Drosophila melanogaster: one gene and its partners. The protein of the gene in region 3 interacts with the protein of the main gene of each other region in a pairwise test. Each region holds a gene or a part of one and is shown on either strand. Other genes may lie near its edges.

Evidence for each region.
Region 1: the proteins of CG5390 (region 3) and smal interact in a two-hybrid assay, tested with the Drosophila melanogaster proteins (one large-scale study listed by BioGRID).
Region 2: the proteins of CG5390 (region 3) and CG14089 interact in a two-hybrid assay, tested with the Drosophila melanogaster proteins (one large-scale study listed by BioGRID).

What each region holds. Positions count from the first base shown.
Region 1 is NT_033779.5:6,177,452-6,182,178, reverse strand, and holds the start of smal (smoke alarm), read right to left. Parts: upstream 3,047-4,727; 5' UTR 2,480-3,046; intron 1-2,479.
Region 2 is NT_037436.4:19,279,574-19,282,443, forward strand, and holds CG14089 (uncharacterized protein), read right to left. Parts: upstream 1,228-2,870; coding exon 553-1,227; 3' UTR 547-552; downstream 1-546. Other genes in the region: CG14086 (uncharacterized protein), read left to right, coding at 1-60, 125-251.
Region 3 is NT_033779.5:10,303,526-10,308,606, forward strand, and holds CG5390 (uncharacterized protein), read right to left. Parts: upstream 3,070-5,081; 5' UTR 2,987-3,069; intron 1,985-2,986; 5' UTR 1,981-1,984; coding exon 1,624-1,980; intron 1,558-1,623; coding exon 1,302-1,557; intron 1,245-1,301; coding exon 637-1,244; 3' UTR 544-636; downstream 1-543. Other genes in the region: nmd (no mitochondrial derivative), read right to left, coding at 1-73, 130-311; CG4968 (uncharacterized protein), read left to right, coding at 3,520-3,594, 3,669-3,968, 4,033-4,446; Cdk5alpha (Cdk5 activator-like protein), read right to left, coding at 4,809-4,950, 5,023-5,081.

The DNA.
Region 1 (4,727 bases), 4.1 Mb from region 3:
AGAACGCCAGTGTATAAAAACTAAAAAAAAAAACCAACACTGGCCATAAAAACCCAGCCAAACGAAACTAACAAACAAAAATGCGGAGTGGCAGCCACGAATTAGTGCTCCTGGCGGCATTTATACCCCTGCAATCGAAGAAAATGTGGCACCTGTGCGCCGTCTTGGCATCTGTGCCTCCAGTTTTCCCCCGTATCTGTATCTGTATCTGTGTACTTGTATCTGTATCTCACGGAATGGTGGCTATGTCTTTTGTGCGCCGCCTTCGGTTGGCGAGCCAAACAAATAAACTTGCGGCCAAGTTATGACAGTCGAGGGCCGCAGGAAACATTATTCTTAGTTAGATGCTAATTAATTAGGGGACGCGGAGGAGTTGGAGTCTCCGCCAGCAATTCGGTGGCAGCCATGTGGGCAGCGACACGATCTCGTCGAACCAGCGGCAAAAAAAAAGCCCGAAATGCACACGAGAATGACACTTCTTGGGTATAAATTTTGTTGACTGTTGTGTTTGCCAGCCCCTGAAAAATGACCTGGGGGATGCGATGTGTACAGAATGAGGTTAAATGGAAGTTGAATTCGTTGAAGAAGACACTAATATAAATTGCCGCACGTCGGTGGAATTTTACTTATTTAAAGAAGAAATATACCTTGGCATTTCAAATTAAACTTAAATAGTTCAAATGCGACTAGCTGGCTGTTATATTGCCATCGGATTTAATGGTCTAATTAGACATTTTATTATTTATTTTTGACATTGCATGAATGGGCTTTGTTTAGATTTTAATGAAAACAAAGTTTAATCAATGCTGTTTAAATGGATCCTTATTAAAATTGCAGAAGAACATGGTAAATATTGTTGCCCCATTTCCATCGTAATCCCAGCTGACAAAAGAAAATATTTTCCCCCCAAAAATTGAGATACACATTTTCATTTCGTTGGTAGATGGTTGCAGGTAAATGAAAGAGATGTGTGTTTATGTACAAAATAAATTCATAATAATTCCCATGAATTTCCAAGCTGCACACTTTGTATATTTATAAATATAGTTTTATACACCTTTTTTAATTCCACAAACATATTTCACATTTTATTCAACGCAACGTTTGAATGAATAACGTATTTTTCGGATTCAGTGGCAATGAAATAAAACTAGCGATTATTGCATTTCATAATTTCATTGCTAATCAATTTTATCACTTTGCTGTCTTAGTATTTTAGTTAGATTTGAATAAAATATTGAATACAACCTGTTAATGGTAGCTATGTGGATGCATCTATGAACTTCGGTGCTTTAAATTCTTTCACGCACATCGAATTATGGGTTTTAGGCGCAGTTTAAAGCAGATTGGGCAAATCTGCGGCAAATCTGTTGTTCATTGGAGGCATACTCAAACGTCTCATTACCATAATATAGCCAACTCAATTCCGCCTGGGCCCACCAACTTTTTCTACAATGGCAATAAAGAGTTCCCCTCGCAATCGACCACGAAAAGTTTTTTCAGCGGTATTATCATAATGATTGCGCCCCAAACGGCGCTTGGGGCAGATTGAGGGACTCGCCCGCCTGCTGCCAACTTGTTTACACAAATTTTAATTGGTGTAATTATGATTTTTACACGAAATTAATTATGCATGCGCGATTGCGGCTGCATCTTCGCAGCTCGCGGTAATCGCTACCCATCGGATGCCCAATCTCAATCTTAAATTTCTAAACCATCCCAAGTGAGCAAGAAAAATAACTCGAGTTATTTACAAAAGCTGATGATTGCGGGGGGAAAAAGCGAAAGCGAGGTCTCTGGAACTTTAATTGCCAAACATACTTCTACTTAATTACCCCGCAGAACAGCGGGAAAATTATGAAATCCAGGGGCCTCGTTGCGCGTCTAGCGGAGTGTGAAGTTGCCAAAGACTCGAGGTTGAGGTTGTACTGCGGAATATCTAGATACATAACTGCATCTGCGAGATAAGAATCTGTGTGCAACAGCCGTCGGAGGCACAAAGTGTTCGGAGAAAGATCTTTCTTTAGGAGATAAGGGCAGTATCTTAGCGTTTTACGACCTGCCGCCGCTTTTCTTCTTCGCTTCTTATTTATAAAATACAGCAGGTTAGTTTGATTAGCCCCAGATGTTGACAGCTTGGCTCTTTCTTAATTTGTGTTTAATTAATGAGGCAAGGGGACAGCCACCGTAAGAAATGGGGAGAACGGGTTGGAAATGATATCTTTTGATCTCTGGAATGCGCCTTGATGAGATACATTTGATTGGGCCAATATTCTTCTGGTTTCTTTTCGGATAAATGAATTATTTAGTTAGTAATTGACATAAACTTGTTTTTGTCGCACTAATTGATTGTTTGCAACTCAATATTTATTTATGCATTGCAAAGTCTCTATGGGGAAATCCTGTTTATTGACATGATTGCTTTGAGCATTGAGCACTGATTGTTTTCAAGTTAGGCCTTTCTTCACTCTCAACTCACCTAAATATTCCAAGAGTTTTGAATTAGCCTTTGCGTTGACTTAAGGTGTATATTGATTGTATTCCGTTTGCACTTTAGTTTGTAGCAAAAAACAACGATTTCTCTACTAAAATTTCAAGCACTGTTGTTCACTGGGGCAGCAAAAGATACTCTATCTGCTGGTTTGTTTCGATATGTTTGAGCACTCCGTGGGCATTTTCTCAGGTAGCACATTTCACACACTTTGCCGCACGCTGCTGGCGGCCGCAGGTGCACAATTGCCGCATCTTGGGTGCCACTTGCACCGTATCTTATTCCTGACCAATTCGTATCTCTGCACTCGCGCTGCGCGGATTGCGTATCCGTATCTGTCGGATCTCTTGGCGATTGGCTGCCAGCCGATTAAGCCTGAGATGGGTAACTGCGTTGATTCGCGACCGCGTTGCCAGTGGCCAAGGCGTTCTGTTCTTCTTGTCACGAGAGCTGGATTGAGACTGGGGGCACAAACTGAGACTGAGACGGCGGACTGCGACAGCGACTGCGACTCTTGTAACGCGCGGCACGAAGGTCGACGAGCGATTGAATCCGATTGAATGTAACGTGCAGCGCACCACTCCGTTGCATGTAAGTGTGGATGCTAAGAGAGCGAGCGCTTCTCTTTTGTGGACTCTGTTCGCTCGTCGGTGGAACTGTTTACAAAGTTTATGTGTGGAGAGCGCTGTAAAGGACCTGCAAGGATTTATATTATCAAATTAACATTTAAATCATAATTTGGAGTTGTTTCTATGTTTTTGTTTCCTTAAAACTTATCATTTAAGCTACAGTATAGTTTATATTGTATATGCTGCGCTAAAAACTAAGTTTTTCAATTCTCAGTAAAATTATCCACAATGGAGTTGAATTTACCTGCCCAGGCCCAGGCACTTCACCTGTGCTCTGTGAAAATCGCCGAGAAACTCCAAATCCGATAGAGTTTTTCCGCTCTCTTCCGGCTCGTATAAGAGATTTCCGTCTGCGGCGAATGTGGAACAAAACAAGAGCGAATTCGAACTGTTGATTTGTTTTTACCCTCCCCGACTTTTCCTTTCGCTCGCTTTTTCCGGCGAATCCGCCTTGCAGTCCAAATTGGAAATGGCGGACCGCCGCCAATCGCGGCCTCTGATGAATTTCCAATGATTGACGCCGGCATTAAGCCGAAATCGCACATACAACTTGTCATAATTTCCAGCAGAGAAATGCGATCTTGTCACATTGGTGCACCATATCATATGGACATGTATGATTTACGAACTCTACGGTTTTCGTGGGGCATGGGGATTTATAGCTACGCACTTGTAGATTGTATCGCAGAGGTTGTGGGTTGATTGATTGGTCTCACCAGTTGATCCGACCCTTTGTTCTTCGCCACTTTCGAATGTTTGACTCGGTGACACAATTTCGAGGGGCCCACAACGAATTCCTCGAGTGGATCGCCGCTAATCAACTGATATCGCTCCGGGCCAGATCGCCTATCGAAAAGCGAACAGCGTTTGGAAAGGCGTTATCTGGAAACCGTAACCAATTTGTATCATATATGGTGACTGTTTATGAAAGCAGTACTTCTTCTGTCTCTTTGTCTGTTTTCTTAGTTAAAAAAAAAAAACATGTTTTTTGTCTTCTATTTTATGATTACAGACACCCAGAAAGCTATGAATTGGATATTAATTTAAAAATATATACAAATATTCTGCAAGATTAATGTAAATGTTATTGACAGGACAACTCCAGCAAATCAAACATTCTGTCTTGTAGTCAATTTAACTTTGTACGTAGTTTTATTCGATAGACTCTTTGCATGTTCCTATCAATTGGCCATTTGTCACATCCGAGTGTACAAACAAACAGCAGACAGCAGAAGCATTGCCAACTTCCAACCATAACTCATACCCATTCCGGCCAAAGCCGTTGGGCATGCGCTGTCTGTCAAACGGCTTGTTCGCCTGCCCGGCAGTCAAAGAAATCAGCGGACGAGCGGATGAGCGGCGGCCAAATGGTTATGATCAGGAATTTACACAAAAATGCATTCAGCGCTGCTAATAGATATACAAAATACATACATAGATAGAACAAGCAAATGTTGCGTTATCACGAGTAAATATTTACATAGCCTTCAAGGACTCTGTGAATACATCAACCCCATGCTGCGATACTGGCATAGTATCTTTTGCCACATTTGTTTATTGTCCCAGACCTTTCCCACTCCATAAAGTATTTATAGATACTGACATTC
Region 2 (2,870 bases), on a different chromosome or scaffold from region 3:
GCTGCTCCGATTCAGCGCCTCGAAGGAGGAGGGTCTCCTGCCGCAGTGCGACTTTGAAAAGTGATGCCAGCCAACGAATGTCTTTGTTATTTGTTTCTAATGTCTGTTTGTTCTGCGATGATAGGGTGTCGAGCTTTGTGGATACCATGGAGGATGATTTCGCGGAGATTGGTGCCACGCAAGCGGGATTGGATGAGGAAGCGGAGGAGGAGGGCGACGACCACACCGCCCTAGACGACGATGTTTGCTAATAGTTTAAGCCAGCTTTTCTGCCTAATGTAATGTGAGATTTTAAACGACTTAACAAATGTCTAATAATATACAGTTTGTAAAGAGGTTTCGATTTAAACGCTGAGTGCGTGGTATATTTTTATAGGTAATCGATAAACCCACACTTTGTATGATTTTTGGTGTCATTTATAAACGAAGCCACTCAAAAGTCAAAAAGGACATTCTTCAAAAGAATTTTGAAAGTTCCTTTTAAGTATTGGGTATCTGCTTTTTACCTACAGAAATAATTATCAAAGCTATTTCGTTTTAAATAATGTTATTTTAATTTCGTCTTTTATTGTTTTTTGTGCTAAACGGATTTCTGCGTTCACTAAAGGCCAAAATGAAGGGCTGGTCGTCGAATTCTTCGGTTTTTCTCAGACCAAAAGAACGCTCATTGCCGTAATCATACTCGTCCTCATCATAGTAGTTATAGTAGTGCCTCTGGTGGCCTTTAGGGCCTCCATGTCCATGTGATGGAGGAGGAGGAGGTGGAGGATACGGATACGGTGGATATGAACCTCCGGGATATCCAGGAGGACCCTGAGGACCAGGTTGGCCAGGGATTCCAGGCATCCCGGGGTGGCCCTTATCTCCACGCGGCCCCTTCTCGCCGGGATCACCCTTGGATCCTTTGGGGCCGGGATAGCCCTTCTGCCCCGGCTGTCCCGGTGGACCAGGTGGACCTGGAGGACCGGGCGGACAACCGCATGGCTGTGGCTGAGGATACGGATACGAATAGCTTGGCGGATAGTGTGGCGGATGATAATGTTGATGATCGTGATCCTCCTCTATGATCACTTCCTGTGGCGGGGCTGGAGCGGGACTTCCAGTTTGGAGGGTGATCAGCCGGGGCACTGAGGCATCATCCTTGGCGAAAACTCCCCCAAGAACAGACAGTAGTGCCACCAGCAGAATAGTCCAGTTCGCAGAGAGAACTTCCAGATTCGACGACATGCTGTGAACTAACGAAAATCAGATCGCAGTCACTTCTTTTATGTGGATAAATGCGTTTGAAAAATGGCAACAGAGGAGAATCATTCAAACTCCCGTTAAGATAGCTCATTTGAGATCTATATGTCTTGTCTTACGATCGCATTATATTTGTATCGTATGCTAATTTCTCTTGTTTAATAAACCAAGCCATTTATTTATAAAGTATCTGATTTGCATAATATTCAATGAATGAGTTGAGTTTTTGGGCTGATGAAAGAACTTTCACACCAAATGGATGTCGGACTTTGTGATCGAGCCATGAAAAGTGAATTCTCGTATTCTAGGATAGATCAATTAACAGGTATATGTATATCATTTCTGCGCGTAAAAATAACATAAACTTTTACACAAATTTCATATGGAACCAGAGCAATGACTGGTGGTGACCGAGATGATGATTTTTACATTTAAACGGAAACATTAACCATTTTGAATAACTAATGTGTAATTTGCTAACACCTGAGATACCACCTGTCCGTCCCTGTGAAGCACAAAAGAAAACACTTTCGAGACATGCTAAGAATGTCTGTTCGCAATTTTATTTAACTGTGGCTTCTTTATTATTCTTTTGTAAGTGTAAAGTGGAACTCATGATGACAAGAGCCCCGCCCACATAAACCTCAACAAATTTCTGGTTTTTGGGCAGATCTCATAACACTTTTTGCATACTCACGCTTCAGTCTAAGTCATTTGGATTTGTGGACATTAGTTATGTTCGAGAAGTTTCTGTTTTTGTTAACATATGTATGTAAATAGTTGTAACTTTTAAAGTTCGTTTTATTTGTTGTTTTGCTTTTGTTTTACACATGTTTGCTATGCAATAAACATATTAAATAGTTTCTTTAATTATAAATTTACTTTGTTTAACTATTATTCTCTCTTATTCGTGTTTTCGGTCGGAAAACGTTGAGGTAGCTGCGTTTGCAATTAATTGTTATAAGTAGCTATTCGCTTGTTTATATCCCTGATATAGGCTATTTAAGGTTCTGTTGTGGATAAGAAGAGCTCAAATTGTATTCATTATTATTCAGACAATACATAGATAATTGAAAGAATCAACCGAAAAGGAATAACTAAAGTTTATGTTTATTTTATTTTGTATATATATTTATATAATATTACGATAGATATATTACGCATCAACATATACATAGAAAATATTCAAATCGTTTAAATTAAAATTAAAGCATATAAAAAATCAAACATTAGAAGAATATCAACAATTAAGAGAAACAAAAGTTAAGGCTTGTCTGCTGTGTCTGATGGCTAAAAGGGGTTTTTCCGATCGGGCTACAAATATCATCGGATTGGAGAATATCCTTTTTGACTGCGAATAGTCAAAAGGTAGCAAAAGTAAACTCGAGTTGACTAGATAGTGGATGGTGGTTAGTTATAGTTAACTTTTGACATGGTCTCTGTGCTCGAACGGATCTGCTTTTACCGAACAAAAAGTATTAAAATGGTGCTAAGCTCATATTCAGAACTGTGATTAATGGCAATTAATCTTTTCACAAAACTGATTCATTTAAATCATCATGATACATTATCTGGCAGATACACAATCTTAATAGCCCGATCCAACTGGCAATCGCTTTCGCATGACA
Region 3 (5,081 bases):
ATGTGACGCAATCATAAGCTCGTAGTCGCTAAACTCTTGCCCTCTTAGCTTGAAGCCCTCCTGCTCGGCTAGCCTGCATGGAAAAGGTTTACACATGTACAATATATGCTATATGAGTCTAATATAAACCTCTTAAGCTGCTCCTCAGCCAGAACTTTGGCCTTTTTCTTGTTTTTACTGGTCGGATCCATCTGGTTCATCATCCATTTCACCGAATAATATGTGATCAGCGAGGCCACAGACAGGCGAACCAGTACCTGGAATATCTGCCCCTTGCTTAGATCCGATCCGCCCAGTCCGAAGTTGTCCATGTTTCTGCAGATATTCTATTTAGAGCAAATACGTTGGCCTGCACGAATCTAATCTTTCTTGTTCTTATTCCCCATGCACACCGACGACAGTGTGACCAGGTGCTCCGACTGAAATTGACATCGATAAGCTCAAAATTGCTGCCAACTGAATTCAATTTTTGTTAGCCTATTCCTTTTCCACTGTTCCGAAAATATTTTTTCAGCTTAAAATAAAAAGATTTTTTTTTTTTTTAATTTTGAGTATTAACATATTGGGCATATATTAAGTGAGAGCATTGTGAAGCATGAAGATTAAAACCCACAAATTCAAGTGACAATTTTGCTCTTAGGGTGTATAGTGCCTGGGGTCAATACTCCAAATCTTCAACTTGGCGTCGATCCACGGACGAAGCTTGGCCACGCTGGCGTACACTCCGGGAATGTTCACCTCGCCGCATCCGATGCCCCAGGCAACAATGCCGGCGGACTTGAAGCGGTTCTTCTGGCCAGCAATTGGACACACCAGTGGGGAGCCACCATCACCCTTGCAGGTGTCCTTGTCCTTCTCACCGCCGGCGCAAATGAAGCTGTCGTGCAGAATGAAATGCCTGCCGAGTCGAGTTTCGCGCAGATTCGTCTCGCACTGCTGCTCGGGCACCACGGGCATGTCGACCTTCTTCAGGATAACCTGATATTCCCCATCCTTGCCGAACTTGTTCTTGCCCCAGCCGGTGGCATAGCAGCGATCGAAATCGAATTTATCACCCACATTGGGCAGGCAAACGGTCTGAATGTTCTCCTGGAGGGTGAATGGACTTTCCAACAGCATGACAGCCACATCGTTATAGAGCGATCCCTTGTTGAACTGCTCATGGTAGATTATTTCCTTGACATATCGGTCTTCGTGCCTTCTGATCTCAGTCTGCGTTTGCGTATCCCATTCGCCAGCTCTCACTAAATGCCAGTTCATAATTAGATCTCATAGATGGCATAGATGGCATGTACACTTACCAACAATGCTACTGGGCTGTTTGTTGTGAACGCAATGCGCCGCGGTCAGAACCACATTGGGAGCTATCAATGCTCCTCCACATTCGTACAGGTTAAGGTTGCCTTCTTCCCGGAGAATGGCCAGCATCCAGGGGAATTCGCCGAATTCGGCCTCCTGGTTGACAGCTCCAGTGATCTTAAAGCCAACGCCGTTGGGATTTTGGTAACCGCAGCCCTCGGGATGATCAGGCTTAAACTCGAAAATCGGATCTTTTCTCTTAACAAATAAAATTATAGTTTAATTTAAGTAATCAAAGCTTATTGGTATTTATGTATGTGTTACCTTGTTGGGCAGATCACAGCAAAGATCCAAATAGTTCTTGCATTCGGCGTCCGTACCAAGTCGAATGTCAATGATACCATCGCCACTGGTGTTAATCGTATCATTGGCGCACAACCAGCGAGGAACACACTCCTTTTGATCGCCACAGGACTGGTACTGCGTTGAACTCGATCCTCCGTTTTCGGATCCCGTGCTACCGGACGAATCCTTGGGGTTCACCACTGGCGGGGGAGGGGATGATGGTTTGGGTGTTTCGTCCGTTTTAAAGATGTCCGATATCAATTTGTCCAAGGAAGAGTCCTGGGCACCACAGGAAAATATGCACAGGCATATTACTAGGCAATTTAGTAATATCATATTCCTGGAAAGCAAAATTAAATCATGCTCTTTACATATTTACATAATTAAGGTCAGAAAGCTCACTTATTCGAGGAAAGAGATGAAGATGAAGGTAAGCAAAGTGAGTAAAGCTCGAGTATTGGTAATATAATAATGATTGTTATTGCTGGAATATCGCACTTAAACCGGATAAAAGGTGAATGTGATTCCCCCAAAACAGAGTGACACATTTTAATGGAAGGGAGACGCGGATACGAATACGTTTATGTTTATGCGGCGAACAATTAACCTAATTAACTCTAGAATGTATTGTCTTATCAGTGAGGCTTTGCTTTCTTTTTTGAATACTAAAATTCCGAGCAAATATATACATATGTACGTATTGTTTCTTTTAGATCGCCTCATTATCAATCCTGATTGCTTTTTTGTTTAAATATGACTTTTGGCGATAAGAAATGCTAATGTATTGCGGTGGGTCAATTTTCGCTGTCAATAAAAACAAAGCATGTATAATTACTTTAAAACACAAAAATAGTTTCTTATGTGTAAGCGCAATCCCTCCATTTTTCGCAAGAGTTAATAATAAGTTATAACACACTAATTAATTGCCATTTACACACAAAGGTTCACCATTTTTGCTAACAATATGTTCCTTGCAAATAAAATAGGGCAAAAACTGGTTTTAGTTTCGAGTAAACTTAGCATTATACAATTCTTCTTCATTAACATATATAAATGTATTCCCATTGCCGCTGATTTGTGCTCATAAAAGTACGTGAGGCGGTGATATTTTGTACACTTTATTCATTGAACTTTAAGATCTTTTTGATTGATTAAAATATGTATATACACATGTACATACATATATGGATGAAAAATGTATTGTAGATGTTACAAGACATAGAAACCACCAAAAAGATTAAACTCTATCAGATATCCACATAACTGAACTACACATTTTCAATAAATTGAATTTGAGTCCAATTTTATTTAGTATAAAGTGTACTCTATTAGTAAGACTTACTTAATTTATCAAAGTAGCGCAACGTTCGCTGAGCAATGAAGAAAACACTCAACTGAATTGATTTCTTATTCAATCTTAAGTCTCAGCCGATGATCTTCTGACGAGAAGCTTTGAAAGCTGGTTCCAATTGAAGTTCCCAGCTTACGTATTACACAGCGGAAAACCAGTTCAAAGTTTTATTTTATTTTATAAATTTATAGATAATAAACATACACAAATTATGTACGTATATTTGTTATTAAAAACCGTTTTAATGGTTTAGCGTGTTTGTAAAATGCGATTTCAAATATTTATTTATTTTTATTCTCGAGCCAAGGAACAACTGGAATTGAAGCCCGATAACGATAGCTGTGCGACAAAATCGAAAGCATCAGTGTGTCCGTGAGTTTCGCCTCTAGACCTGTGTGTGTGACATTTGATGCGCCTACACATACATATGATGAACAGGAATTCTTTTTAGTTCATCAAATGAATACAAAGTAAAGTAAATTGAAAGGAAGCGCCGATCGCAGTTGTTCAGTATTCAGAGAAACATGGAGCCGTTTACCCATAATGATGGCAATCGCGACGAACTAATAATTCAGCAGAAACGGGATATTGAAAAAGAGGTGAGTCTGCAGAAACACTTACACACAATAGCGACAATGAACCGAGAAATAATGCCGAATTTCAATAATTGCAGATCAGCGACACAACTCCCTTGGTCAGCGAGCAGTTGCCACTCACCTGCTTGTATGCGGAATACAGTGGCGACGAGATCTTCACCGCCAAGATCCAGGATCTGTCCAAAAAGTACAAGTTCATTCGCCGCACCCGCCCCGATGGCAATTGTTTCTTCCGAGCCTTCGCCTACTCCTACTTGGAGTACTTGATCTCAAACACCAGTGCCTACCAGGAGTTCAAAAAACTGGCCGAGGAGTCCAAGGAGAAGCTCGTTCAGCTGGGATTTCCTAGTTTTACATTGGAGGACTTTCACGAAACGGTATGTTTAGCCGTACAAATGCAAAACGAATTCCCTATGCTTATGCAGCCTTTTGTATGTCCAGTTCATGGAAGTCATCCAGCGCGTTAGCCCCGACAATGCAGGAGGACACAGCACGGTCCAAGATGAGTTGCACAAGATCTTCAATGAGCAGGGTTACTCAGACTACGTGGTGGTTTACCTACGTTTGATCACCTCGGGAAAACTGCAGGAGGAGGCCGATTTTTACCAAAATTTCATCGAAGGCGACCTCACCATTGAGGCGTTCCGCCATCTGGAAGTGGAGCCGATGTACAAGGAATCGGATCACATCCACATAATCGCTCTATGCACCGCCCTCGGCGCTGGAGTTCGTGTCGAGTACTTGGACCGTGGCGAAGGTGGGACTGTGAAGGCCCACGATTTCCCCGAGGGAAGCGAGCCCCGAATTTACCTGATATATCGACCAGGCCACTACGATATACTGTATCCAAATTGAATTGCTCTCAGTAGTTTCTAGATTACGAAACGATTTATGTATATAAGATGTATAATAAACTACCATTTATTTGCATATATGGTGAATATTTTCCTTCTCTTTTGGTTCTGCATAAGATTGAGATTGATTGATTAGCCCAGCAATGGAAACACAGATTTTACACATATCGTAGATGTTAATTTATTTAAACACTAATCTTTATTATTTGATTTGAACGATTGTGATAGTGACATAATGAAATTGTCTAATGTTTTATAAAATATTAAGTTTTATTAACGGTACTTCGCCATCATTTCATCCGGAAATTTCTGGCGATGCGCAGACAATGAGAGGTTGACAATAATCTCCCGGTCGTCCATCCGTCAGGCGCCTCCACAGTATGATTTAATTGTAGGATGATATTGACCACAAGATTTCAGCTCAGTAAAGACTTCGGTAAAAAATCCCGGCTCAGCATTGATTTTAAGCATTTTATCACTTAGCTTGTTCACAATGACGAGGCACCTGTATGTTACATTAAAGATTAAGATGCAGATGGAAAATATTTCATTGAAATTAACTTATTATTTGACATACCTGTCCCAAAACTTTTCCTTCGAGTCTTCAACCAAAAACGGTTTGAGTGGATAACTGAT